Astyanax mexicanus: one gene and its partners. The protein of the gene in region 1 purifies or fractionates together with the protein of each later gene. This does not show direct contact. Links are inferred from orthologs where the notes say so. Each region holds a gene or a part of one and is shown in the gene's direction. Other genes may lie near its edges. The genes, in order: mphosph6, exosc5, exosc2 and exosc4.

What was found.
Region 2: the proteins of mphosph6 (region 1) and exosc5 purify together in Homo sapiens (affinity purification with mass spectrometry; 6 studies listed by BioGRID and IntAct, with this or other methods). This does not show direct contact. The link is inferred for Astyanax mexicanus from reciprocal best matches to the Homo sapiens genes MPHOSPH6 and EXOSC5.
Region 3: the proteins of mphosph6 (region 1) and exosc2 purify together in Homo sapiens (affinity purification with mass spectrometry; 8 studies listed by BioGRID and IntAct, with this or other methods). This does not show direct contact. The link is inferred for Astyanax mexicanus from reciprocal best matches to the Homo sapiens genes MPHOSPH6 and EXOSC2.
Region 4: the proteins of mphosph6 (region 1) and exosc4 purify together in Homo sapiens (affinity purification with mass spectrometry; 7 studies listed by BioGRID and IntAct, with this or other methods). This does not show direct contact. The link is inferred for Astyanax mexicanus from reciprocal best matches to the Homo sapiens genes MPHOSPH6 and EXOSC4.

Annotation. Positions count from the first base shown.
Region 1 is NC_064409.1:59,103,892-59,111,857, forward strand, and holds the start of mphosph6 (M-phase phosphoprotein 6), read left to right. Parts: upstream 1-4,965; 5' UTR 4,966-5,127; coding exon 5,128-5,178; intron 5,179-6,728; coding exon 6,729-6,841; intron 6,842-7,736; coding exon 7,737-7,827; intron 7,828-7,926; coding exon 7,927-7,966. Other genes in the region: snx20 (sorting nexin-20), read left to right, coding at 1,161-1,272, 1,351-1,505, 2,747-3,415. UniProt on the Homo sapiens protein: RNA-binding protein that associates with the RNA exosome complex. Involved in the 3'-processing of the 7S pre-RNA to the mature 5.8S rRNA and play a role in recruiting the RNA exosome complex to pre-rRNA; this function may include C1D.
Region 2 is NC_064416.1:2,328,493-2,335,721, reverse strand, and holds the start of exosc5 (exosome complex component RRP46), read left to right. Parts: upstream 1-4,211; 5' UTR 4,212-4,291; coding exon 4,292-4,391; intron 4,392-5,266; coding exon 5,267-5,380; intron 5,381-6,076; coding exon 6,077-6,198; intron 6,199-7,189; exon of another isoform or gene 7,190-7,229. Other genes in the region: bckdha (2-oxoisovalerate dehydrogenase subunit alpha, mitochondrial), read right to left, coding at 2,973-3,086. UniProt on the Homo sapiens protein: Non-catalytic component of the RNA exosome complex which has 3'->5' exoribonuclease activity and participates in a multitude of cellular RNA processing and degradation events.
Region 3 is NC_064408.1:20,987,641-20,994,907, reverse strand, and holds the start of exosc2 (exosome complex component RRP4), read left to right. Parts: upstream 1-4,261; 5' UTR 4,262-4,327; coding exon 4,328-4,455; intron 4,456-5,862; coding exon 5,863-5,964; intron 5,965-6,046; coding exon 6,047-6,092; intron 6,093-6,243; coding exon 6,244-6,333; intron 6,334-6,438; coding exon 6,439-6,504; intron 6,505-6,606; coding exon 6,607-6,675; intron 6,676-7,014; coding exon 7,015-7,191; intron 7,192-7,267. UniProt on the Homo sapiens protein: Non-catalytic component of the RNA exosome complex which has 3'->5' exoribonuclease activity and participates in a multitude of cellular RNA processing and degradation events.
Region 4 is NC_064415.1:9,898,919-9,906,630, reverse strand, and holds the start of exosc4 (exosome complex component RRP41), read left to right. Parts: upstream 1-4,693; 5' UTR 4,694-4,753; coding exon 4,754-4,924; intron 4,925-6,238; coding exon 6,239-6,445; intron 6,446-7,712. UniProt on the Homo sapiens protein: Non-catalytic component of the RNA exosome complex which has 3'->5' exoribonuclease activity and participates in a multitude of cellular RNA processing and degradation events.

The DNA of each region.
Region 1 (7,966 bases):
GCTGCAGCACCGATCGCTCACTGTTGCGTACTGGCCATCTCAGGGGTTAACATTAGGGAATGAGCAGCAGGCTAATTTTAGATTAGTAAATCACTGTAAAGTAGGCCTGTCACAATATATTTTTTGGGGGGTGATAAATAGTCTCAGAAAAAAAAATATGATAAATGATGCCACTGGTATGTAATTTCATTTTTAAGAGCATAATATTAATGAATATTTGTTTAGGAGATATTTTCTTGTCTTTAAAACGCTTAATAAAAGACTGTATAACGATAATGGATTGAGCAATATTCATCTGTCAACAGCCCAATCTGCTTCTACTACTAATGTGAAGAACCGCACACACGTGTCTGCATGTGTTTACAGTGAAGGCCTTTCTAGACAGATGCTTATCTGAACTTCGCTTGTGAGGAAAATTACTGTAAACATCCCCATCTAGTGGACAGCAGTGATAATCTGAGTTTAAAACAGAGATAATAAATAAATCAATGTAGTACCACAAATCTCTCATTTTACTTATGTTTTTGTCCTAATTTTGACACTGTGGAGTTTTTTTGTATGCAAACCAGTGTGTGATATATGGAGTGATTTGTGAAAGCTGAGAAGAGCACAGACACTCCCTCTTTTAGGTTTCAGTTCCTCCTTTCAGTTAGGTTTCATGCCTAATTTCAGCATTTGCCAAGGAGACATTTAAGCTTTACACAAGGACTTGTCTAGTAGACATTATATACATATAGTATAACAATTGTAATTTTGTGAAATGTGGGTTTATATGAGTCATTTTATGTAGATGTAGTAACTGCAGCAGGGGACTCTTGGGGCCTACAGAATGAGGGAAGCAGTCACCATGGGCATGAGCCAACATTTCTACACACAGGTAATGAGAATTTTTTATCTAAAATGCCACCTATTTTTGTTGTTGTGGAACTATTGAACTCCCTCTGTGCGGTTACAAATGGTGGGTTTCCATTTGTGTCGTCTTCTGCCTGCTTCTGCGTCCTGCTCTCAGGCCACTTCCTCCAACACAGCCAATTTTAGCTTCCTGACAAGGAAGTGCAGTCTGTCACCCCACAGACATAGATCCATTTTAATCATGTTTTCTTCATCTTCTGTGCAGAGTGCAGCTCCGGTCACTCAAGTCACTGTCTGGTGAATTGAGCATGGATTCTTCAGAGGCCCGTCTACTAGACCTGAGGACTGGTGATGAAAGAGGAACCAGCACCACTCATCCTAAAGAGTCTGAGCATCATCAAGAAACATCAGTTGATACTGGTTAGTGTTGTTTTCTATAGTATGTAATTGTGAGTTAAATTTTGGACTTCATTCATTCAAATTTCTGTTTTGTCATAGGTCTGGAGGCATCTCCAGGCTTCAGTGCCTCCTGTCTGACCACAGCGGAGCTTCAGCAGCACTGGAGGGCCGTGAAACAGGAGATCAGATGTATTAAACTGCTGTTTGAGATCCCCTCTACACGCACCATCGAGCAAGCCACCTCTAGATATGTGGTAAGTGAAAGAGACTATGATGATTTTTTCTTATTTTATTATTAAGGACACATTTTATATTAGGGGTGGGAAATAAAACAATATTTTATTGTATCTTGATCAATTTGGGTATTGTGATATAAAGTATATTTTTCTTGAAATATCATAGGTTATGTCAAACATTAAACAAAGGCATGTTTTAATATCATAAATGCAATTAGTGTAATTCTTGTTTAGTGTAAAGTCTTGTTTACTTCGATGAAGTGCAGCAAATTGTAAATTAATAAACCCCTGTAAAGTTGGCCTGTCACAATTACAATTTTCTTTGGACGATAATTATATTATCATTTTATGCCCCTGATAATATGATGTAATAATGTAATTACTCCCTTCTAAAAATTAATTTTAATTAATAATTGTTTATGAAAGAGTTTCTTGTCTTTAAAACAATTCTTTTTAAAAATAATAATGGCAGCATTTCTTTGGCTATATAGTACATATCTGTAGCCTGCACAATTTTGTCAAGTTAATACACTATATTGTCAAAAGTATCTACTCACCTGCCTTATTAGTGATGTAAGGCTTGAATGGAGCTGCTCTGTCATGGAAACCCATAATAGGAAGCTCTCTGCACTCTACTGTTCTTGAGCTAATCTAAAGGCCACATGAATTTTGGAGATCTGTAGTGATTGAAAGTTAGTGACCTCTGCACCCTAAGCACGTTAGCATCTGCTGACTCCGCTCTGTCATTTTACATTAACAGAGCGAGCCGTTTTTATTCCCAGTCTCTTTCTTTTTGCTATTATAAGACTGACAGTTTACTGAGGAATATTAAGTAGCGAGGAAATTTCACGACTGGAAATCCTATCACGATATAACGCTGGAATTCACTGATCTCCTGACAGCAACCCATTCTTTCACTAATGTTTGTAGAAGCAGTCTGCATGCCTATGTACTTGGTTTTATACACCTGTGGCCATGGAAGTGATTGGAACGGGAGTTTAATTATTTTTAATGAGTGAGCAAATACTTTAGGCAATATTGTGTATGAACACTGTTGGGGAAAAGCATCAATAATTACCTACTTAATAATTAATAATACCTTAATAATTAATAATTACCTACCGCTCTACAACTGTGCTTTTTGTTGCCAGCTCGGAAAAATGAATAGTTCTGATAGTGTCACGATCAAGTTTAGATAATTAATAAGAAATAGTGACTCAAATGTTTTGGACTTACTTAATCTATACTGTTTATCACAGGTGTACAAAATAGTGGTGATCAGATCAGGCAGTTATGACGGTGAGCGGGTGGCCATTGAACGTCGCTACTCAGACTTCCTCCATCTCCACCATCAGCTGCTTCAGGACTTCAGCGAGGAACTAGAAGACATCTCCCTTCCCAGGAAGAAACTGGTGGGAAACTTCTCAGAGGAGAACATTGCTGAGAGACGTGTGGCCCTGTGTGATTACCTGACCCAGCTCTACTCCCTGCGCTATATCCGCCGCTCACCTGCTTTCATAGCATTCTTCACCCACTCTGAGCTGAAGGCTGCCCATGATCTGCTCCGGGGAGGTCGCTTCTCCCAAGCCCTTGAGATCCTACAGAGCGCTTTAGTGCTCCAAGAAAAGCTGTCCACCCATGATGCCACTCTGCTGGTGCCTACCCTGTGTGCACTGGTGGTATGCCAGAGGGACCTGCAGGATTTTCATGCTGCTTTTAAGACTGGCCACAGGGCACTGCCAGCAGTGAGACGCTACGGCCTAAGCAAGTATCGAGCCCCTCTGCTGGAAGCCATGGTGGATCTTGGGTATAAGATGGAGCAACCCGTGGCCCAGCTACAAGCAGAACTTATTAAAGTTCAAAACTCACCACGTGAACAAATATCACTAGTGTCACTAAAAGAGCTTGTGGTGCAAGAGTTTACATGATTCCAAAGATTTATAATGGAAAAAAATGCTATTGATACTGACTTTCACTTTGTATATTTTTGTGTTTTTCTTGAGATACAAAATCTACAGAATATGAAGTTTGGGGGAGCCAGAAAAGATTAAAAGGTTTTTATCATTATTAATTAGTTATTAATTATTCAAAGCAACAAGGGATCATTGCTCAAATCAACTGCTCATACCACACAAATAGATTTTTTGATGTTTCTGCATATAGCAGTTATTTATCACTCATAGTCTCTTATTTTCTGATCAAAGATTTATTTTATTTTTATAGTGTGCTTATGACTTTTATACTTTGTTATATATTGTTATTTATATAAATACAAGGTCAGAGTCAACAAGGTTATAGACTAAACTTGGATATAATCATAAAATCACTTGCTATTGATAAAAAACAGATTTTTTTTTTTTTACTTTAAGTTAAGTTAAAGTTTAATTGGTAGCGCCATGCTCAATTATGTACATGTACATTTCAGGTATCAAAAAGATGGAAAGATTTGGGAATTTTCCATACTGTCTGACGGCCAGTCCAAGACGGTTGACCATCAAACAGTATGTTTTTGGCTTAATAAACAGCTAGTCTTCAAAGCATGATCAACTTAAAAAAGCTAGAACATCAGTATAACCAAGTGTGAACAGCTTAGACTTGTGTGACCAGCAAGAACAAAATCAAAGGCGGCATACACTGGTCAAGAGCTGGGTAACACACAGACATACATACATACATACATACATACATACATACATAGAGTACCATTCAAAAGTGTGGATACACATTCGTATTAATATTTGTTGTTTATTTGTATTATTTACTACATTGTAGATTCATATTAAAGCATAAAAACTATGATAAAAATATGAGGGAAGCCATATGTAGTTAGGTAGTAGACAAAAAAGTGTTTGGCCCAACACACCCAAAAAATCAAAAGGTGCTGCTTTGATTAAGTATAAAATATATTTTGTCATGTTTAACAATTTTCTTGATGGGGTATGTGTTTCTTTAATCTTTGAAGTCTTCAAAATAAATCTATAATGTAGAAAATAATACTTTTGACTTGTTTTTTATTCAATTTTCACCTTGAAAACCAGCTTCTCTAAAACCAGCGTAGACTATTTGAAACAGGCAAGTTGTTCTTGAGTCTTTTTTCACATTTTCAAGAAAAAATAAAAATAAAATAGTGTACATGACTGATTATGAGGATATTTACAATGGAGCATGGACCAGTATTTCATATTTCATGATATGCAGCCTTGAAAATTTATTTACATCTTAATTTCTGTTTTTATTTATGTATTTATTTTACTTTTTATTTTATTATTTTTTGCTTAATATTTTTTTGTTTTACTTAACAGGGAAATACGAAAGGAGAGTAAGTGTTCCTGCCATTGCTTCAACAAAAATAGTTATTAATTGAATAGTATTTGGCTTTGGGTGAACCAAAAACGTGCTGTAGCTCACGAACTCGAGATCAGACATGATTAGTCGCTTCAGGCTCGACCGTGCGATTAACCGTGTCTCTTTGCAGTCCTGAGCATGCGCACATATTTATATCCAGCGTGTTGAGATGAGAGCGGTTAGCTTAGCGGAGTAAACAGATCAGAGCCTGAAGATTTTTACACTGACTGATAAAACCTGACCTTGCAGTGAAGCCGAGCTAAACAACAACAACAACATAATCAAGAATATTACAATGGCAAACGACGGTTCAGCGAAGTTATCTAAAAACCTGCTGCGGATGAAGGTGAGTGCTGTTAGCTGTGGATCCTCACTGACCAGAAGAAGCCCTGGTTTAACCACCAAAACTCACTTATTCCCATTTAATGTCCTTTAATGAGACTTTCAATATGTATAACAACTCCCTAAACAAAAGAAACAGCATTTCTTGTCGTTCAAAACTTCGCTTATCATTTAACTAGCAGTGCTATTTCCATTTTATCCCAAACACAATCGTGCTAAATATTCAAATAAAGCAAATGATTAAAATAAAGTCATAAAGAAAAGTAATAAAACACAAAAGCTAAGCTAAATTATATTCCTCCACAGTTGTGCAGATACATTCTTGGCTTGGGCTTACTTTTGCCATGCTTTTCCTCGTAAGGGAAAACTATTTTAGTTAAGCCCATGGGATGGCACGGACAAGTGACATTAACGTAGCTATATAGTACTTTAGGTCTGGAAAAATCTATATTTTTCAAATTTATAAGGTATTCTCGGTTATGATTTTTAGTTATTTTTCATTTTAAGCAGACAGCACTATTTAAAGTGTTGCATAATCCATTGTGTCCTTGAACTTACATTTAATTTCAGTTTCGTTTGTATTATTATTTTTGTTTAATATTAAACATCCTCCTTCAACATAACATGTAGGTTTACAGCTTTTTCCGTTTTTAAATGAATTTCTCTGATTTTGCTATTTATAGGTATAAATGAGTAAAATGAACTTTGTTGTTTTATTCTATAAACTATGGAAAACCTTCTTAGCAGAAAATGAGAAATGGCTGAAATAACAAAAAATGCAGAGCTTTCAGACCTCAAATAATACAAAGAAAACAATTTCATATTCATAAAGTTTTAATAGTTCAGAAATCAATATTTGGTGGAATAACCAAATGCATCTTGGCATGTTCTCCTCCACCAGTCTTACACACCGCTTTTGGATAACTTTATGGCACTCCTGGTGCAAACATTCAAGCAGTTCAGCTTGGTTTGATGGCTTGTGATCACCCATCTTCCTCTTGATTATATTTCAGAGGTTTGTAATTCGGTAAAATCTAAGAAATTTATCCTTTTTAGGTGGTCTCTTAATTTGTTTTTCCAGAGTTGTATGTTAAACACTGTACAAACATAACATGCTTGTATTCCAGTTACAGAAAAGTCTGAAACATTAAAATGACTGCAGTATAAGAGTTACAAGTTTCTGACAGAAGCAAATGTCTGTCTACTGAAATGTCTTCATATAAAGGTGTACAATCTTGATGATCCCATTTTGAAAAATCGTATTCAAACGCTAATTCAGTTAATCTGATTAATCTCCCAGCCCTATAGTACTTAATACCTCACTTCTGCCCATAAAAGAAAATGTTTGTGGCTGGTGTGGTATTAATATTAAAATAATATTAGTTAGCTAACACGTGTTTCCTTTAAAATTCAATTTTGTTAACATTCAGATTAATACATTAACTGTTGATGCAGTCAACCTCTCTGTCCACTTTGCAAGCCTATAGGTGTAAACAGCAGAATTACAGATTATTTTTTGTATCTCTTAAATAATTTTGCTTTATGTCCCCACAGTTTATGCAAAGAGGCCTTGATGCTGAGGCAAGGAAACAGTTGGAGGAAGATGAGAAGAGAATTATTAGTGATGAGCACTGGTATCTGGACCTGCCTGAGCTTAAAGCCAAAGAGTAAGCTTTCCTTTTGACTTTTCCATACATGCCTTACTTATGCAGTTGATGTTTTATTTTTGAGATAGGGATAATTATATTTAAAGTTCCTATGAATAAACCAACTCATGGCCCTCCTCTGCCACACCTGAACCATGTAAATGCTCTGCACAATCAAAAGCGAGGAGCAGCATATACATTTCAGAACATAGACTGAAGCCCATAAGGTCCATCACCACTGATAATCTATACTGGTATTCTTTACTGTTAATCATTTAATAGATTATCTGAAATTAATCAGTTTATCATCTAAACTTGGAAGAGTAGGTCATTTTGATAACATAACCTGTACAAATTTAACATTTCAATGTCAAAAGCACTGCCAGACCTAAACACATGCTTTAGGGATGCACAAAAAAAAGTTTGTCTAAAATTAAAAAGGGAATAAACTGATTTTTTTCTCTACTATATAGATCACAGCCTAAATGTATATGTTGCTTTTTAAAGACAAAAAAAATAATAACAAAAATATACTTTAAAATATTTTCTATTTTACAGCTAACATTTTTGTCCCCTAGCTGACACATCAACAAAGTATAATACGTTTACGACAGTAGTGCTATTTTAATCATTAATTTACTTTAGCTTTGCTATTCTAGTCACACATTTATCTAGCAAGCTAAGTTTTGTGTGCCTGCTTTTGCTGGTGTCAGTGGAGACTATTTTAATTAAATCACAATTAGATACTACTGCACAAGGGTGCAATTTATTTTGGGTTCCAGATATGAATGTTTAGGGAAGAAAAAAAAAGCACTATTCCTTCCCTCCCCAACCCCCACCTCCTGCTGGTCGATTAGAAGTAACTTTGACAACAAGCCTTCTCCTCTAACTTTACCTGTATTTTCTACTTATTCAGAAGCTGCATTGTTGAAGAAAGGAGTTATGTGCCATGTGAAGACTTGGTTTATGGAAGAATGTCATTTAGGGGTTTCAATCCTGAAGTTGAGGTAAACTGTGTGTACATTTCCCCCCACTTATATTTTACATATGAATTTTACACTTTTATTAAATGTTTTAATTATTGTTTGATATCAAATGCTCTGCAGAAGCTGATGGTTCTAATGAATGCTCCCAAAGAGGAGGAGG
Region 2 (7,229 bases), on another chromosome or scaffold:
ATAATGACTTACTATCTCAAATAAATTACCTACTATCTTAAGACAAAGAGATAGTATCTCAAAATAACAAATTTACTATGTTAAAATATAAACCTACTGTTTAAAAATAACTTGCTATCTCAAAATAACGACGTACTTTCTTAAAATAATGAGAAAGTATCTAAAAATAACTCTCAAAATGACGTACTATCTCAAAATAATTACCTACTATCTCAAAATAACGAGACATTATCTCAAAATAACGACTTAATATCCTAAAATAATGACTTACTATATCTCAAAATAATTATTTACTATGCCTTACTTACTATCCCAAAATAATTATTTATTTCAAAATAATGATTTATCTCAAAATAATGACTTACTGTCTCAAAATGACTTACTATATTACTATATACAGGTGCTGGTCAACGAATTAGAATAATTTGAAATAGTGCAATCATGAAATTCTTTGAATGCATTTTTTGTGCAGAAAGCAAATCAGGTGTTCACTGCACCTGTCCTACTCGCTAGACTAATCACAGAACTCGTTACCTGGAAAAAAATTTGCTCAGCTGAGCTTTCCAAAAGGCCCATTTAGGCCATTTAACTGTGACACTGTTGTTTTATTGAATTAGAATAATGGAGAAACCGTTTCATTGAATTAGAATAATTTTTATTATAATTACAATCATCACTTTCTCAGTATTTTGTGGCTGCCCCCTTGGCTTGTATGACTGCCTGAAGTCTCCGCGGCATCGATTTGACCAGCTTGTCGCAAGTTTCCGCACTCACAGCTTCCCAGGCAGTGGCGATGTTCTGCTTCAGTTGGTCCAGCGTAGTAGGCTTTCTGTCGCGAATTTTCCGCTTGACGATGGCCCAAAGGTTTTCAATGACATTGAGGTCAGGCGAGTTGGCCGGCCATGCCAAAACTTCAAGCTGTTTTTTAGTGAACCAATCTTTGGTCGACTTTGCCGCATGAGCCGGTGCAAGATCCTGTTGAAATATGAAGTCTTCTTCGCCGAACTGTTCCTCAACAGTCGGAATCAGGAACGTTTCCAGAACATCTTGATATACGGCAGCATTGACAGTCTTCTTGAGGAAGCAGAGTTTCCCTACACCTCGAGCGGACATGCATCCCCAGACCATAACGCTCTGGGGAAACTTGACGGATCTTTTCACGCACTCGTGGTTGTAGGTTTTGCCACCACGACGCCAGACACGAGGACCTTGGTCACCGAAGGAGATGCAGAAGCGTGATTCGTCACTGAAGACCACTTTCTGCCAGTCTTCAGCAGTCCACTCGCCGTGTTCTTTGGCCCACTTCAGCTGTTTCTCCATTTGTTTCTTGTTCAGCATCGGTTTTACTGCTGGAACGCGAGATTTGAAGCCGAGTTCGCGCAGACGACGGTAAGTGGTTGATCTGGAGACGTCAGCGCCGGTCTGCTTGTTCCACAAGTCGGTGAGCTCGGAAGTGGACTTGAACCGGTTGCTGACTGCGATCTTTCTCAGCTGCTTGTTGTCGAGAGCAGAAGTTTTTCGGACGCCGGAACAGTTGGTGCGCTTGCTGCAGTTTTTCTTGAGAGCTTTGCAGACGGAAGACTGGCTGATGCCGAGCTGCTCAGCAATTTTAGTTTGGGTCAAGCCTTGTTGGCGAAGGGCTTGAATTTGAGCCACTATTCCGGTTGAGAGGTCGCGCTGCTTACCCATGATTGATTTTACAACTTAGAAATTCTACTCAACCCTGACTTTATACTGCACAGTGAACACTCTTCACAGAAAACAAAAATTCGAGCATTTATTCTAATTCAATGAAACGGTTTCTCCATTATTCTAATTCAATAAAACAACAGTGTCACAGTTAAATGGCCTAAATGGGCCTTTTGGAAAGCTCAGCTGAGCAATTTTTTTTCCAGGTAACGAGTTCTGTGATTAGTCTAACGAGTAGGACAGGTGCGGTGAACACCTGATTTGCTTTCTGCACAAAAAATGCATTCAAAGAATTTCATGATTGCACTATTTCAAATTATTCTAATTCGTTGACCAGCACCTGTATACCATATATATATAGTATACCAAAAAATACTTACTCTCAAAATAATAACTAACAATTTAAAAATAATAATATAGAAGTTAGACAGAAAAAAAAATCAAATAATATATATATATATATATATATATATATATATGTATATATATATACATATATATATATATATATATATATATATATACATATATATATATATATATATATATATATATGTATATATATATATACATATATATATACATATATATCCCGCCTTGAAGCGTGTTATATTCCACACCCCCGGAGCGGACCAATCAGAGCGAAGGAAACGGCGCAGCGCCGTGAAGGTTATGCGCATGCGCGGTGGCTAGGTTCTCGCAGCCAAAACAAATAGACCGGTTTCAGTAAAAAAATATATAATATAATATAATAACTTCATATTAACCTCAAAATCAGCAGCATAAACCAGTTATTAATAACTAAACTTATTAACAACAGCTGAATATGCGGTTTATTAACGCTTCACACAACCATACACACTATTAAATATATAAGTTACATTAAAACATATATATTAAATATTAAAATAAAGTTATATAGAACCACAGCGTTACAGAGTCTGTGGACAGCTGTATTTATCTATCTATACTGTAGCTTATATGCTTGTATTATATGTGTGTTTTAAACAATATAAGCCAGTGTTGTTTTTTTAGTCCAGGTGAGCAGCTGGTTTACCTGTATCAGATTCACCTGTATAATAATATTGCATCTGATAATAACCCCTCACGTGCTGCTATATATCTTTATTACAGTATAAAGCTCTAGCTGAGGGTTATATATTAAATATATATCTGCAGGTGGGCATTACATGCTACTGTTTAAGCTGCAGCTCAGATCAGACCCACAGGAACACCTGTACAGGTGAGCAGCGCGCGCTGTGCGGGTGAGCAGGTGAGGTTACCTGGGTGCGGAAGGCTCTCCGCTGCAGGGCTCTGACCGAGTTTAATGCTGAATTTTGGCGAAACGCGTGAAAACCGAGTCCGACCCATTTCTGCAGCCTCCGCACCGCCGCCATGTTTCAGCCTTACTGTCCTCCCGCACCGCGCTCACAGCGCCTCCTGCTGCAGCGGCGGAGACACCGCACTGTATATACACTATGAATATAACTGAGAAATTACTGATTATATATACACACAATTACAAAATCAGCATTTTAATACAACTAATATTTCACTTTCAATATTTCTTCACATCTCTTATAAATTCATTAATTCCCTAAGAAATAACACACTTAAAAAACAACAAAAAAGAATATATATATAGTAAATTATGTAGCTAAATTAAAAAAAGATAAAATTGCTAATTAATAATTAAAATGAGAAAACAATATTGTTTATGATAATAATGTAACTAATGTTTCATTTATTAATAATAATAATAATAATAATAATAATAATAATAATAATAATCATCATCATCATAATCATAATAATAATCATAATCATAATCATAATAATTGTTATTATTATTATTGTTATTATTATTATTATTAATTATTATAATTAAAAAACAACAACAAAATGCAAGAAAAATGTGTAATAGCGGAAGCATGTAAAAAGTTATATGTGACGGTGTATAAATAACTAAACAGTTTCTATTAAAACTTTTATTATTAAACTATTATTATTATTATTATTATTATTATTATTATTTATTTATTTATAATAAAGGTTAAAGCTGCAAATAAAAAAATGACATCAGCATATAATAAAATAAATTAGGAAACATGGGAAAACCAAATACAAGAAAAATGTATAACAGAGGAAGCATGTACATAAGATTGTAAAAAAAACGGTGTCCTTTAATTAAATTAAGAATTATTTTAAATTACTTTATTAATAAAATATAAATAGCATGGTTAAATAATGAATAAATGACCGCCTTCTGTTTTATTTAACTTACATTTATATATTTGTTCCTTGGAAAAATACTATATTAGAGTATTATAGTATTTTTAAGAAAATAATTCAATTACAAAACACTATTGCAAATCAAATCAATCCTCTTTCTTATTTAAACGAAAATTCGTTGTAAATAAAATGCCTAATAAAATACAGAATATTTTAGCTTAACTAGTGTAAACTGATTTACTGTTTTTACCGGTAGATTAAGGACTTTTATCTTATTAAAGCGTCATCAGAGTGCGCGGTAAACAGTGACGCTGTGAGCGGGCGACGGGCCGGCGTGCTGCAGTATCGCGGGGTGCAGGGTTCGGCAGTGATGGATCAGATAGAGACGGGTTCGGGTTCGGTTCTGAGGGAATACGGGAGCGAACAGAACCTGCTGTCCAAACCGGACGGATCAGCGACCTTCCTACAGGGTATTTATCTATATACTGTCTCTGTTCTATTGGGTTCTATGGGGTTCTAAATGGGTTCCTCTGGGTTGTGCACTTGTTTACAAGACTCTATATTGACTATATAGGGCTCCACAGAACTCTACCCTGTTCTGTAGGTATCTACAGAGTTTCTATATGGCTATATAGGGTTATATAGTGCTCCAAAGGACTCTAGTGTTCTATAGGCCTGCACATGACTCTACAGTGTTCTGCACGATTTCTATAGGGCACTGCCGAGCTCTACGAGTTCTATAGGGTCCACATGACAATATATCAATTAGTCATTTAGGCAATCAACCGTTATTTTCACTCAGAAGTACATTAAGGGCAACCCTCATTTTCAATGTAGCATTCACAAATACAGGGATTAACATGATGATAAATTAAATAATAACTACATTTAATAATCTTAAAATAACAGTTAATAAAAGAGAGGGTTTCTGTAGGGCACTACAGAGCTCTATAGGGTTTCTATAGGCCTCCACAGGACTCTACAGTGTTTTGAACGTCTCTACAGAACTTGGGTCTATATGGCACTGCAGAGTTCTATATTGGTTAAATACGGCTCTACAAAGCTCTATATGGTTTTTATAGACAACCACAGAGCTCTACAGGGGTTCCATATGAATCTACAGGGTTTCTATAGGGCACTACAAAGCTCTATTTGGTTTCTATAGGGCACTACAGAACTCTACAGGGCATCCATAGGGATTTAGAAGGTTTCTATTGGACATTACAGAACTCTATAAGGGGCTCTACTCTGCAGGTTTCTGGAGGATTTTTCTGGGTTCTGTATTGATCTTGTGTTTGTGTGTGTGTGTGTGTGTGTGTTTCTGTAATGGTATATGTGTTTACAGGGGACACCAGTGTGTTGGCAGGAGTTTATGGACCTGCTGAAGTGAAAGTGAATAAGGAGATCTATGACAGAGCGACTCTGGAGGTGGTTGTCCAGCCTAAAGTGGGCATGTCAAGTAAGTAGCTCTGTGTTCAGAGATACTAAATAAAAAAATAATTTATTAATTAATAATACACTATATTGCCAAAATGCACAACATAATTGTACTCACAACTAGTTATTTATTTGATGTAAAATGGACCTTCTAAAATGTTCTGTGCATTATATAATATTTAGTCAATGCGCAGAGCCGTCATCATTAAGCATTAAAAAATGGAATAGTTATAATATAATATATAATATAATAAACTTTGCTTGTATATCATCAAAAAAAAACGCAGCTCAAAATGCTTCAATAAAATTAAGTAAAACAGAAAACTGTAAAACGTAAAAAATTTAATAAACAGTTTTTGTCATTTTAGTTCACATTAATATATTGTGCACACTCCTGTTTTGGAATTTTATTGTATAACTAAGTGCAAAACATACCTGATGTCTGAAAAACTGAGCACAATAATGCAGCATGAGTCTACTAGTAGGTTAAAGTAATATTTATTGTTAGAGCCCTATTTAATTAATGTAATTCTCATTACAATACAGTGAACATATTAATTTATTTATAACACTAATCATGCTTTAATATTCCTCTAGATTAAAAGCCTGTTGTTGGTTGCGTTACCCCCTCTCACCACAGGGTGGTAGTCATGTAATAGTGAAAATCTGTGCGTGTGATGAACGTTCACTAATCCGGTTCTGTAACCCGGTTCTGTAGGTGTGCGGGAGCGTGCGAGGGAGCAGTGTGTGAGGGAAACGTGTGAGGCTGTCCTGCTGTCCACTCTTCATCCTCGGTCCTCCCTCGCACTCATCCTCCAGGTGGTGCACGACGACGGCTCTGTATCCTTTATAAATCCACACCTGTTTATAACTAGTAACGAGTCTTTCTCATCTCTGGAGGAATTTAGTTCCACTCTTCTTTACAGAATTACAGTTTTAATTCAGACACATTGGAGGATTTTCCAGCATAAACGTCTAAAACTGTTTAAGATCATCCACAGCATCTCAATCAGACTTTAACTAGACCCTCCTAAACCTTCATTTAGTTTTTATTTATTTTTAATCCATTCAGAGGTGAACTTTTTGTTTGTGTGCTTTGGGTCATTGTCCTGCTGCAGAACCCAAGTACTCCTGAGCTTGAGGTCAGTAAGGAACAGATGGACGGATTCTGATTCTCCTTCAGGATTTTCTGGTAAAAACAGCAGAACTCCTGCTTCCATCTATTACAGCAAGTTAAAGTCCGGCAGCTCCAGACCATCATAACGCACACACTACCACCACCATGTTTTACATTTTACGTTCAGTGAGAGCAATGTTCTTTTATTGCTGAAATTATGTGTTTATTATAGTTTTATGCCAGATGTAACGGGACACACACCTTCCAAAAAGTTCCACTTTTGTCTCTTCAGTCAAAATATAATATTTACCCATAATTTTAAAAAGGAAAAAACAATTTTTCCTAAAGAGCATCATGATGTTAATTGATAAATGTTGTTCTGGGTTCTTTTGGGATCTCATGGATGAGTTGTTCATGCCCTTTTGGAGTAATTTTGTTCGGTCGGCCGGTCACTCCTGGGAAGGTTCACCAGTTTTCCATGTTTTTTCTAGGGGTGTGACGAGATCTCGTCAAGCTTAAACCTGTCTCGCAGGGGGAAAAAAACAGTAGTTTAAAAGCTCCGCGGTACAGTTAAAAAGCTCAGTTAAAAAGCTCAGCTCAGTTTAAAAAAGCTCCGCGGTACAGTTAAAAAGCTCCGCAGTACAGTTAAAAAGCTCAGTTAAAAAGCTCAGCTCAGTTTAAAAAAGCTCCGCGGTACAGTTAAAAAGCTCCGCAGTACAGTTAAAAAGCTCCGCGGTACAGTTTAAAAAGCTCA
Region 3 (7,267 bases), on another chromosome or scaffold:
ACATGCTGTAATTATCCCACATGAAGTTTAAACAGTCATATGCTAAGGTTTATCACCTCTGGGCAAATTCTTCCCAATTTACAAAGAAAATCATATATATATATATATATATATATATATATATATATATATATATATATATATATATATATATATATATATAAGAAAAGATAATACTTTATTACTCAGACACCAGGGAAATGACAAACTTCTGCAAATGATCACATGCTGTAATTATTCCACGAGGTTTAAACAGTCATATGCCAAAGTTTTATCACGTCTGGGCAAAATAGGGTACATTTAGTAGATTTCATGCAAAAAAATCTTATTTATTAAAATCTGCAACTTTACAGGAGAGGGTAAATCCTTATTAACCTACAAACAAAATCATATATAAAAAGATGTTGTCTAATTTAAAGTTTTTTATTAATCAGCCACCAGGGAAATCATCACATGCTGTAATTATTCCACGTGAAGTTTAAACAGTCATATGCTAAAATTTTATCCCCTCTGGGCAAAGTACTGTACATGGAAAATAATGGATTTTATGCCAAAAAAATCTCAGCTCAAAAAACTAAATAAAAAACTTCAACTCTACAGTAGAAGGAACATTCTTCTTATCATACAATGAAAATCATGTATTAAACACCTTTGTTCCTAATAAAAAAAGTAATTTAATAATATAAGATAAGCCTTTATTAATCACACAGTGGTAATATTTGCAATGTTACAGAAGTGCAGAAAACAATTAATACTGAAGACATCAGAACTTTAAAGGAACACCTTTTAAACTTTGAAACGATTTAGTGTCGGAATTTCACATATGAAGGAATGTTAAATAAAGGTGGTTTTAATGCAACCAAAAATGTATGTTTATTTAATGTTCCTTGTATCAGGGCTGGTTTACAAGTGGAGGCCACATCTATGTTCAATACATACCAGGTGCTGGTCAACGAATTAGAATAATTTGAAATAGTGAAATCATGACATTTTTTGAATGCATTTTTTGTGCAGAAAGCAAATCAGGTGTTCACCGCACCTGTCCTACTCGTTAGACTAATCACAGAACTCGTTACCTGGAAAAAAATTTGCTCAGCTGAGCTTTCCAAAAGGCCCATTTAGGCCATTTAACTGTGACACTGTTGTTTTATTGAATTAGAATAATGGACAAACCGTTTCATTGAATTAGAATAAATGCTCGAATTTTTGTTTTCTGTGAAGAGTGTTCACTGTGCAGTATAAAGTCAGGGTTGAGTAGAATTTCTAAGTTGTAAAATCAATCATGGGTAAGCAGCGTGACCTCTCAACCGGAATAGTGGCTCAAATTCAAGCCCTTCGCCAACAAGGCTTGACCCAAACTAAAATTGCTGAGCAGCTCGGCATCAGCCAGTCTTCCGTCTGCAAAGCTCTCAAGAAAAACTGCAGCAAGCGCACCAACTGTTCCGGCGTCCGAAAAACTTCTGCTCGCGACAACAAGCAGCTGAGAAAGATCGCAGTCAGCAACCGGTTCAAGTCCACTCCCGAGCTCACCGACTTGTGGAACAAGCAGACCGGCGCTGACGTCTCCAGATCAACCACTTACCGTCGTCTGCGCGAACTCGGCTTCAAATCTCGCGTTCCAGCAGTAAAACTGATGCTGAACAAGAAACAAATGGAGAAACGGCTGAAGTGGGCCAAAGAACACGGCGAGTGGACTGCTGAAGACTGGCAGAAAGTGGTCTTCAGTGACGAATCACGCTTCTGCATCTCCTTCGGTGACCAAGGTCCTCGTGTCTGGCGTCGTGGTGGCGAAACCTACAACCACGAGTGCGTGAAAAGATCCGTCAAGTTTCCCCAGAGCGTTATGGTCTGGGGATGCATGTCCGCTCGAGGTGTAGGGAAACTCTGCTTCCTCAAGAAGACTGTCAATGCTGCCGTATATCAAGATGTTCTGGAAACGTTCCTGATTCCGACTGTTGAGGAACAGTTCGGCGAAGAAGACTTCATATTTCAACAGGATCTTGCACCGGCTCATGCGGCAAAGTCGACCAAAGATTGGTTCACTAAAAAACAGCTTGAAGTTTTGGCATGGCCGGCCAACTCGCCTGACCTCAATGTCATTGAAAACCTTTGGGCCATTGTCAAGCGGAAAATTCGCGACAGAAAGCCTACTACGCTGGACCAACTGAAGCAGAACATCGCCACTGCCTGGGAAGCTGTGAGTGCGGAAACTTGCGACAAGCTGGTCAAATCGATGCCGCGGAGACTTCAGGCAGTCATACAAGCCAAGGGGGCAGCCACAAAATACTGAGAAAGTGATGATTGTAATTATAATAAAAATTATTCTAATTCAATGAAACGGTTTGTCCATTATTCTAATTCAATAAAACAACAGTGCCACAGTTAAATGGCCTAAATGGGCCTTTTGGAAAGCTCAGCTGAGCAAATTTTTTTCCAGGTAACGAGTTCTGTGATTAGTCTATCGAGTAGGACAGGTGCGGTGAACACCTGATTTGCTTTCTGCACAAAAAATGCATTCAAAAAATTTCATGATTGCACTATTTCAAATTATTCTAATTCGTTGACCAGCACCTGTATATGGTGAATATGGTGCTGTTTTTACCTTTATTTATCTTTTATTATTTTATTATTATACAATCTATATTTTGTTGTAAAAAGGTTTTAAATAATTGTAATGCTTGTAAATGCTTTTAGGAATATAATAATCTTATCTGTATTACTTTTTAAAGCAATAGTTTGTCAGTGCATTAGCTGCTGTGCTGTGACATATGTTGATGTAAAAAGGGCTATGAAATTAATTTATTTGAAAACAGACTCAGTTTGCCAGACAGGGGTTAAGCCTAGTGTTTGATTATAGAACGTTTTAAATTTAAATGTTCTGCTAAATGCTTACTGACTCAGTTTAACACATGTTGGGGGAAACACAGCTCTACAGCCCCCTCTAGCGCCACACAGAAAAATCACGTTTTAAGACAGGACAGTGTATTTGGATAGTGAATGTGTCCTTTGTGTACATTATAATGTAAAGGGTAAAGGACACTTGCTTCTCATTATATGTGTCTACACTATATATATATATATATATATATATATATATATATATATATATATATATATATATATATATATATATATATATATATATATATATAAATAAAAACATTAAATGAGAACGAGTGACCAAATATATGAATGGTACTGTAGTATAAGTTGCATACAGTTGTACAGGTATGTGTGCTCTGTTTATTTCAATAGGGTTTATATAAGCTGAAGTGTTTTTCTTTCTTGTTATGGGTTTGTGTTTAAACCCAAAAACATTTTTTTTGACTTTTAATGATTGTTTAGAAATAATTTTTAATTTTGAGATCTGTAGCTAGAATTGTACACTGCACTCTGTGGGGGCACCAAAGCCTAAAGTGCCTTCCACTGTTACACCCACCTCCCCAAGCACAGATTCTATTATTCACGTGGGCTGAATGTTAATATATAAGTGCTTGGCCTTAATTTGGCCTCTTTTAAATAGTCTTAGACATTGATTTGAGATATTTTTTTGTAATTTTGCAGGCTGCCAATTGTTTTTACACAGTATGCCCTTTCAGAAAATCTGTAGATTACATTTTACTATTAGGGTACTTATAGTGCACTTTTAGTGCATTATTAGTGTACAGTACAAGTCAAAAGTTTGGACACACCTTCACATTCGATGTTTTTCTTTATTTAATGTATTATCTACATTGTAGATTAATATTAAAGACATGAAAACAATTAAAGGGCACGTATGGAATTATGTAGTTAATAAAAAAATTGTTTGTCCTCCACAATCCCCTCATCTAAACGTGATTAACTGAGATGGTGATTTTGGATGAGCTGCCTGGAGCTTTAGCAAATATTGTTCAGCGTCGTTAGGAACTCTTTTAACACGCTGAGAAAACAATTTCAAGTGACTCTACGTCATGAAGATACTGAGATTAAAATATTAAGAGTGTGCAGATCTGTCCTCAAAGCATTTTCTGGTTTGTTTAACACTTTTTGGTTTCCAGAATAATTCTGCATGTGTTCCTGTATAGCTTTAAATTGTCTTCAATATTACAATTTTACAAAAAAAAAAAGGTGTGTCCACATGTTAGACTGGTCATGTATTTTGTGCTAAAATGCTGTTGGTTTTGGTATTAGTCCTCGTAGCTTGTGCTTGTTCTATGGTTTCTGGCGGAGTCCCTCTTTATACCAGCAGTGGCCACACGTGGCAGGAGTCTCCCAGTCTGTAGATGTTGGTGTTTCAGAGAAGAAGAGCTCAGCCATTTTAGAAAACACAGCTCTGTGGGACAGCATGGCTGTGGATATGAGATTACCCACTGCCCGAAAACTCATCTCCCTGCCCGGCTCTCTGTCTAACGCTGAGGGTAAACACCTGGTGGTCCCGGGAGATGTGATCACATCTGATACAGGGTTTATGAGGTAAATATGCGCTTAAACAAACCTGCAGGAGGACCACAGGTCTGATCTGACTAGCCTGCTATCCCTACATTAACTAACCTAACCAGGCTAAATTAACTAATATCTGTGTTTTTGCTTCGGTGTCACTGTCTGTTCACCAGCTAAGAGTTAAGATAAGTAACGTGTGTGGCCTGTACCAGTAGCTCGACTGAGAAACACAAACATTTATTTTGTGTATGGGTTCAGTGTTGGCCCCACATATGGATGTTAGTTAGTGATGGGACCAGGCAGGAGGGGATTGGTCAGTGTAAGTTAACGTTTAGCAGTTTAATTTTCTGACCGTATCAAGCTAAATTCAAAAATACAAAATTGAGTATAAAACCTTTTTTTCCATTTAGCATAGTGAAGAAGAAATGTGTTTTGGTCAGTGTTACGTTTATTAGTTAAATTTTCTGACCGTTATAGGCTAAATGCAAAAAAATAGAAAATTGCAAGTAAGAACTCATTAATTCTTTTTTTTAAGTGTAGTGTACAAGAAATAAGTTTTCATACATTTTTCCAATGTTAGTTTTTTAATCTTTGCCCCTTACAATTATAATTTCAGGAAAAAAAAATCTTTTATTTTTAATTTTTTGCATTTTGCAAGTTGGATTATAACATCAGATTTGTGTTACATGATACAAAAATGGACAAATCTGAAAATCGAGAGAAGATTTAACTTTTTATTTTCTTGAAATTCTGTTTGCGAAAGGCTGAAATAAAAAAAAACTCAATAATTGAAAAATGGGATGCAAATCTATTTCTTTTCAGCAAATTAAATTGCTAAACGTTACACTGACCTATTTTTATCTTTTTTTTTCAATTATCTTGTTTTTGTTTTGGCTTTTTCACAACTGTACATTTTATTACAGAGAGTGTTAATAATGTAAAAATAAAAAAAATGTTAAAATCCTGTTTATTAGATGATGTGCCGCAAAAGCAAAAAAAAATCTATTCAATTGAATTATGTGCAACAAAAATTACTGTATTATGCATGAAAGATTATCTGAACAGCAGAATCTTTCTCTGCTGATGCATTTTGTCTGCCTGTTAAAATATGATTATTACTGTTTTTTGTAATACAATATTTTTATTTTTTATTTAAACAGTGTCAGTATATCACCATGCTTACTTTATTGCAATATATTAATGATATTCAGTGATATTGAATCATAACCCCTAGATCAGGCCTGGGCTTTTTAAGGCTGGGGTAGTGGGCCTTTTCATACAAAGCCCTTCACTTATTACGCATCAGTACTGCTTGGGTGGTAAAAACAATAAGAACAACAATAACCCATTTTTTAACCCCCGGTCCACTTTTTAACGCATGTGAATGCATACTTTTTTACGTAAATGTTATGTACTTAATTTCTCACTTCCTGTCTTCAGGGGTCATGGAACCTACATGGATGATGAGAAGCTCACAGCCTCAGTGGCTGGGGAGGTTGAACGTGTCAACAAGCTGATCTGTGTGAAGCCACTGAAGACACGGTCAGTGGTCTTCTGAATGCTGTGTCTAAAACATTACAATTAACATGTATAAGATTTAATATTCTTTGGGTGTTTTTTACAGGTTCAATGGTGAAGTTGGTGATGTGGTGGTTGGCAGGATAACAGAGGTACTATGTTTATGTTTAGAGTTCTCAAAATTCTTACATTCTTTCATACATTTTTAGAAGCACTGTAATTTTAAAATTAGTCATAAGCCTCATCCCTCACAGAAATAAGCAACATTCTTCTCAATCATCTTTACCTATTCTTTCACTGTAGGTTCAGCAGAAACGTTGGAAAGTGGAGACCAACTCTCGGTTGGACTCTGTATTGCTTCTGTCCTCAGTAAATCTTCCAGGAGGAGAGTTGGTGAGCTTAAATACTGATTTAATAATGTTTTTATATAAAAATATTGCATTGTTGTTTGAGTTGCGTTGAGCTGTAATAAATACTGTAAACCCTATTTATTCACAGAGGAGGCGATCAGCAGAAGATGAGCTCACCATGAGAGATTATCTTCAAGAAGGGGACCTCATCAGTGTATCCTGAAAGTAGTGATTGTTTTAAAATAGTGAAATTATGTAATTAAATAAGACTGTGTTATTTTTGATTATGTAGAAAATTTAACTTAACTTGTTCAAGGCAGAGGTACAGTCCGTCTTTTCAGATGGAGCTCTTTCGCTTCACACCCGCAGCTTGAAGTATGGCAAGGTACGAACAACAATTCTTCAGTATGATTTTATGAAACTCAACTGAGAAATATTGATTGAAAAAAATATTGATTTTATAATTTATTGTTTGCTCAAGTCAGTGTAATTGTAGGTACTGTTGAGAGCTTACTTTCATTTTGATAAAAGAAAAATGGACATTAATGCAAAGTTAAAATTTACAGCTCAGGTGCCCATTTATGAATGTAGCTTTAGCTTTTAGAAGAAGTTAATTGACAGGTATATGTTTACCTATTTAAAAAGAAGGTTTAAAATGCATCTTAATATTTGCGACAGTGATATTTCAGTTTACTTGGCCTGATTTGTGTTTTTCCATTCTTAGTTGGGACAGGGTGTACTGGTGCAAGTATCACCATCTCTTGTGAAGAGACAGAAAACCCATTTCCACAATCTGCCCTGTGGAGCTTCCATAATCCTGGGGAACAATGGCTTCCTTTGGCTGTACCCTACACCAGGGCATCAAGATGAAGAGGCAGGAGGATACTACACAAGCCTGGAGGTCAGGAGAACATGATTTTATTAATGGTTGAAAACATAATTTTTTTTCAGCATGTTTTATACTGTGTTTAGAAGTC
Region 4 (7,712 bases), on another chromosome or scaffold:
CTATAGAGCTGTGGGTGGCAGTGGGAGGTGGAAAAGTTATGTAGGCCTGTCATGATAACACACAAATCAAACATATATTATATAATTATGACTACCTTCTTGGTTTTTTACAGCTCCCATGATCATATAGGACACTTTATACACCTCTTTTTAACCTGTTCTTCAATACGCAGGACCCTACAGTAGAGAAAAACACCACAGATCAGCTATTACTATTATTAATTGTGTATTGTGCATTGATTTTTCTCAGCACTGCAGTGATTAGCACTGATTAGCATGGTGAAGGTGGTGTATGAGGTGTTAGTAGTGTGTGTTGTGCTGATGGTACAGTGAGTGGATCAGGTACAGCAGCAGTGCTGCTTGAGTTTTTAAACATTCTGTTCACACACTTGCCTACAGCTGCTCCACCTTCTAGATAAAGTAAAGTCAGAGACAGAAGCTCTGAAGCTGTTGCTACACAGTTTACAGTGTTGGTTTTTATCTAGTGGTTCATCAGTGTTCACAAGAAGATGACTGCATTGAGATGTTTAAAAACTCCAGCAGCACTGCTGCATCTGATTTACTCACTGTACCAACACAACACGCACTACTAATGCCTCATACACTACCACCACCATGCTAATCAGCGCTAATCACTGCAGTGCTGAGAATAATAATGACCCACCACCCAAATAATAATAATAATAATACTAATAATAATAGCTGCTCTGTGGTGGTTTTCTTTTGTGTGGGTTCTGAGTATTAAATAACAGAAATACAGTCTGTAATTATTATAGAACTACAAAGTGTCCTGTTTGATTAGTGGAGCTGATAAGATGGATAATAGGTGTAGAAACAAGTTGTGGTCATAATGGTATGCTTAATTGTTCTATATTGTTGAAAGTAATTGAGCTAAACTATATTGTTGGAATTTTCAGACTACCATATGCCACTGATATATGGATATTATATCATAACATTGCAATAGAACTATTTATTAATAATTCTTAATAGATTTGGAGATCTTCCAGATTTTAAGTTAAAAGTTAAAGCTGGCTCAATTTCTGTTTGTGTTCATTCTTCAACAAACACAGCAAACACACAAGTAAAGGTAATGGACCATATTACAGTATGCAATATGTTTTGAGGTAATTTCCATGTAATAATACATTGATAAGTCAGTAATTGTGATTATCGTGGCAGGTCTACTTCCATGTTTGCCTTAGAAAGCCAAACACTACTGAGCCAACATAATTAGAGATACCCTGTTATATTGGAGTCATATAAGTATTGTACTAATTCGTTTTACTTTAAAAGAAGGAGACTGTTTAAGTTAATGCACAGAAAGACTGTTTACACCTGGTCATTTCATAGAATTTAAATATTAGAATTATATCTGGACACAAGCAAACTATAAACAGATACAAATCGTATAACTCAAACCACTTCAGAAACACTTCCAACACTTCTATCTCAGAAAATTAGAATATTATACAAGACCAGTTGATCTTATTGGGCAGTGTGCCAAGTCCTGCTGGAAAATAAAATCTGCACCTCCATAAAAGCATCAGCAGAGGGGAAACCATGCAGTGCTGTAAGATTTGGATTTCGTTTTCCAGCAGGACTTTGCACACTGCCAAAAGTACCAGTTGGTCTTATATAATATTCCAATTTTCTGAGATACTGAATTTTGGGTTTTCTTTGGCTGTAAGACATTCTCATCAACAAAACAAGAAATAAATGATTAAAATAGATCACTCTGTGTGTAATACGTCTATATAATATATGAGTTTCACATTTCAAACTTAGTTATTTAAAATAATGTAATAAATGCACTTGTAGGTGTTGGATACTCGCCACATGATGTGACCAGGTGTAAACAGGGTTTAAGATGAATACATGATATCTAAATATCTGATTGGATTACTACAGCATTACTAGGAATATATTTATTTAAAGTTTTAAATTAATAATTTTACTGACTTTTTTTGTGCAATACCATAAAAGAACCACTTTTGCTTCCTGATGAATCAAAGAACCATTTTTGGTGGATAAAAACAGATCTCAGAATGGTTCTTTATACTAGCATTTTAATGGTATTACACAAAAAAAACAATGTTTAATCACTTTTAAAGATCTGATTATTTGGAGAAAAAAAATGCTAAACAAGTTTAAAACCTACAAATCACTGTCCAAAAAACAAAATCTTATATACTATTTTTTTTGCATTGTTTGGAACCGGCAGCTTTTTCTTGTATACCTTTACATTGTGTGAACCCTCCATGATAAACGGACCAATAGAATTGCGCCAAATGGGTTAGAATGAAATGCTGTTACACTGACTTTCATTAAAAGCTAAGAAATGTTTTGGCATCTCTTTATAATAAGTGTTACACATTACACATGTAGTTACACATTAACAGTTATGGAATATCATACTATGTAACCACACACTCTGTACCACAAAACGGTACAGAATTATTATATTTGTACCGGTTATGTAACTGGATGTGTGTTTATAGTCATTTTTTTACAATTTGTGTTTTAATAGGGCAAGTGAAATTACATGTCATAATTTGTGTAAATTATCACATGTGATAATGTGTTTGGAATATGTGAATATATTTATATTTCTCCAGGTATTGTCTGGTAATTAGTAATTTAATTACTATTTATGTGTAACTCGTTTTACATTTATGGCCTTTAGCGGATTCTTTTATCCGGAGTGAAGTTGGAGGTGGACCAATGTAGTGTTAGGAGTCTTGCCCAAGGACTTATTGGTGTAGCACAGCATAGTCACCCAGACCTGGAATTGAACCCCAGTCTCCTACATGGTAGCTCAGTGGCAGGTGGTGGTGTTATCCACTGCACCACATCAAATACACCAGTTTTCCAACATTTCCAATATCATTAATTAGATTAATTTAAGGACAGTAGGACAAAATATTAATCTATGTCTAACTGGCACTGATATACATGTAATTACATAACCTGTACAACTGCAATTAATCTTTTATCATTATTATTACATGGTTGTTAATGTGTAACCACACAGGTATTAGAGACACTTATTACAAAGTAGGACTAAAGTTTTTCCTTCTTCTGTTAAGTCGATGTTTTGGAGATGTGCTTTGTTTCTTGGATAGTGATTATTGATTTACACTGACATGCCAAGTGTAATGGAATGGTAAATAATATTCCCATGACTTTTGACCTGTCCAAAACTACTCCGAACTGTGGGATATGTGTGTGGGGTCTTCTGAATCGAATGTGAATGTGATTTCTGCTGGAGTCAATTTAAGTCTGTTTGAATGGACATTTTTTTTTATTTATTAATTTGTGGGCATTTTCAAAGCATTATTTTACATAATGCTATCCCCTGACTTTTGGCATGTCAGTGTAAAACCTGTGGTTTTGTGTTTTTTTAGAGTTCGTCCAAAACCTAAACTCTAAAACTGTTCAATTTAATTGCCCCCCACCACTGCACCCCAGTGTGCCCCTGATTCTGCTGCTGAACCTCAGTCCTCATTTCTTTCTGCTGACAGAATGTAGAGCTGCAGCTCGTAGGGATTCGTATGGTTTGCGAAGCCTGATTTTCTGAGGTACATTCTCACAGACACACTTAACGTTCTGAAGAAAGGATTATAAAAACCTGACTGGGGCCTCAGTCGGCCTCGGCTCCTCTGTATCACATAATTCAGTTCTTCTTGTTCTGCTCATAATGCGTACATGCATTTGTTTCTTATCTCTGTTTTTATTTATACACATTAGAGATGCTAATAAATTTTATTTTTAAAATTGCATGGTATGTTTTATTCTGACGTCTCTATGTTCTAATAACAGTAATGTGCACTTTGGGTGGATAATGCAGTTTGAGCCAAGGATAAAAAAAAAAAAAAAAAAATGTTTTCATTGTGATTTACTGTTGACTTCCCAGCATGACTAAAGACAAAACTTTATTAATTTATTTCTCAGAATAATAATTATTCATATTAAAATTTTCTGAAAATATCTTTTCCAAGAATCAAGAGGAAGATGGATGATCACAAGCCATCAAACCAAACTGAACTGCTTGAATTTTTGCACCAGGAGTAAAGCAGCATAAAGTTATCCAAAAGCAGTGTGTAAGACTAGTGGAGGAGAACATGCCAAGATGCATGAAAACTGTGAATAAAAACCAGGGTTATTCCACCAAATATTGATTTTGGTGTGACGGAAGACAAGCAGAATGAGGAGTTCTGAAGTTACAGGGTTTTTATTTTTAGCTCAGATTCAGCCAAATGCAACAAAACTGACTGGAATGACCCAAAACATACTGTGCAAGCAACCCAGATGTTTTTTTTTTTTTTTTTTTTTTTAAGGAAAATATTTATGAGCAAGGTTGCATACATATACAATTTCTTGTTTGTTTGTTTTTCTCTTGATTGTTTCATATTTATATTTTTTTTATGTAGAATGTATGCAGCTTAAATTAAACATAAATTGTGATATTTATATTATATATCTATCTTTTATAAATTGGAGAACATTGACAGTGCAGCCTACTTGCCATTTATATATAGTTTGGTAAAATAATGTGCTAAAAACTGTACACATTTGTTAAAATTTTGATTTACGTTAAATATGTACTTTTACTTTTTATATATATGTACATATATATGGTAAGGGGGAGCTCGGCCGGCAGGGGGCGTTCGGTGTGCGGTCAGTAGTCGGTGTTTTGGGCTGTGCGGGGACCCGTAGTGCGGGAACACGTGTTGTGTGTGCGGGAGTGATCATGGCGGGTCTGGAGCTGCTGTCGGATCAGGGGTACCGGCTGGACGGGCGCAGGGCGGCGGAGCTGCGGAAGCTGCAGGCCCGGATGGGGGTGTTCGCTCAGGCGGACGGGTCGGCCTACCTGGAGCAGGGAAACACCAAGGCGCTGGCGGTGGTGTACGGCCCGCACGAGGTGAGGAGTGCCCGGGGCAGGGGTAACTACAGCCCGGGGGGGTAACTTACAGCAGGGGAAAGGGGGTATAGAGTAAATAGAACAGTACTGTACTAAACTTTATATTATAATAACTAAAGATGGAATTGCAGTTATAGTGCTTTAATTGTAATGTGCTGGAGTCCCAACACTTCTGTCCATATAGATATAGTGCACCTACACCAACCAAGCATAACATTATGAGATTATGACCACCTTTTTGTTTCTGCACAAAAAACTGTCCATTTTTGCAGCTCCACTGTTTATACAATATATAGCATTTTGTAGTTCTATAATTACAGACTGTAGTTCTGTACCTGTTTCATTGTATACTTTATTATTGTCCTCTAATACTCAGGACCCCTCATGTCACCTTTAGAAGGCGGTCTAATATTTGTATAGACACATGTTATAGGGATGCATCAACATGGGAATTCTGATTACACATTTATAGCTTTATACCTAAGAGGGACTAGACAGTAGGGCTGCAACTGATGATTATTTTGGTAGTCGACTAATCTGATGATTATTTTTTCGATTAGTCAACGATTATTTCTGCCACATTCTCTGTCTTATTTTATAACTATATATTATATTTAATTATAGAAACAGCTGAGTATGAGATCTAAAAGATATATAAACATTCAAATGTTGTTTAAATGTGGAAAGTACTAATTTTTAGTAGATTAGTCCACAATGAAATTTGTAGTCGACAAATATAAATAATCGACATTGTCGATTATATCAACTAATCGTTGCAGCTCTACTAGACACCCCCAGTGTAACTAGAAATAAATGTAACATTTATTTACTTTACATTTTAATTTTTAACCAAGTTTTTCTACCAAAACTTTTCACATATTTTGGCTTTACATTTTATGGTTTCACATTTATTTAGCTAACTGGTCTTTACATAGACTGGTCACAGCTTTGAACTGTCTTTTCTTTTTTTAAATAAATATACCTGTTGAAACTAATTAAAATAATAATAATAATAAAGAATTAGCTTAAATCAATTAATTTTAATGTAGCTTGACCAGTTTTGACCCATTGTAGTAGTGCAGCCAGGTTCACTTGGTAATGTAAAATAATTTATTTCAGGTATTTTACGAGACTTTCTATTAATTCATTCTTCAAGGATTTTTGATGCAGTGTAGAAGACAGTGTGTGTGCTAAAATTATAAATTAAACTAAAAATCAACAAAAAATGGAAGCTAAATGACACTGCACTGAACTGTGAGATGTGTGTGTAGGGTCTCCTACATGTAACATGTATTGATCAGTGTGTACTTACAGGTCAGAGGGTCCCGCAGCAGGACCCTGCACGACCGCGCCGTCATCAACTGCCAGTACAGCATGGCCACGTTCAGCACTGCGGAGAGGAAGCGCCGGCCGCACGGCGACCGCAAGTCCAGTGAGATGAGTCTCCATCTGAAACAGACCTTCGAGGCTGCTGTCCTCACCCAGCTCTACCCACGCTCCCAGATCGACATCTACGTTAAAGTACGGTACATTTCCTGCTTCAGCTTCTACTACCCAACATGGCTAAATAAATACAACACACCCACTGCACATCTAAAAGAGTCGAGGGAAGGGAACCGGGAAAGCAGTACATTTGCAGGACAGTGGGGCACCTGGATCACGATTAAAGGAACCTTGGTTGAGCTGGTCAAATCGCGTGACTAACGTCATTGGTGTTCATTCCTGGTTCAGGAGATATATCATATTGTGTTATTTGCTCCTCATTTATGAGGCAGTAATTTATCTGCACCATTCAGTTAAACATGAGTCAACATGAGAGAGGCCTTCGGTTTCTTAGGAGTTATCTTGGGGTCCTTTGTGACCTCTTGGAGTGGTCTTTGTTGGTAGACTATTTTTTGGGGAGAGTAACAATGGTTTTGAACTTCCTTCATTTGTACACTATAATCTGTTTTACTGTGGATTGCTGCAGTCCAGCCTCTTTAGATGTGGTTTTGTAACTTTTCTAGACTAATGAGCATCTACAGCTCTTTTTCTGAGGTCTTTAGGAATCTCCTTTGTTCGTACCACTATACACTTCCACAAACATGTAATGTGAAGAGCTGACTATATCCTCCTGAGGCCTGGACATAAGCCTGACATTTTTTACTTTCTCCTAGGTATTTGGGATTACTAGGACCTAAAAAGTATAAATACTAAACTTTGTCCTTGTACAGGAAGTCATTTTTGCTAAATTTTAACATTTAAAAAAGACCCTTTCAATTTGGGATCAGAAGGACAAGATTAGTGCAACAGCTAAATGTTAGCTTTCTACAAAAATAGAATAAACTAATTTCAAACATAAAAGTGGAGGATAATTTTTACCTGGCCCATGTTTCTGTCTGGAATGGCTGTAAAAACCTTTGACTGGGCTTCCCGCCGATTGGTTTTCAACCAATTTAGTGTAATGTTGTCATGTTGAGTCCACTTTATGGTACGGGCAGTGTCTCCATATGAGGCCAAAGGGTCAATGTTTTAAAAAAGCTTGGTGCAGAGAAGCAGAACTGTAATGTCCACATATGAGGACACTGGGTCTCAAGAGGTTAATAGATCCCAGTTCTGTACATAGAACAGGCTCTGCCCACTCTCACCTGATTTCACCTTTAAAGTAACTGCTTATCCTAGAGGTTCACATACTTTTGCCACTCACAAATATGTAATATTGGTCCTTAATAATAAATGACAAAATATAATTTACTTTTAGGACTTGAAACTGTGAAAATGATCTCATGTTTCAGATCAAGATATTTAT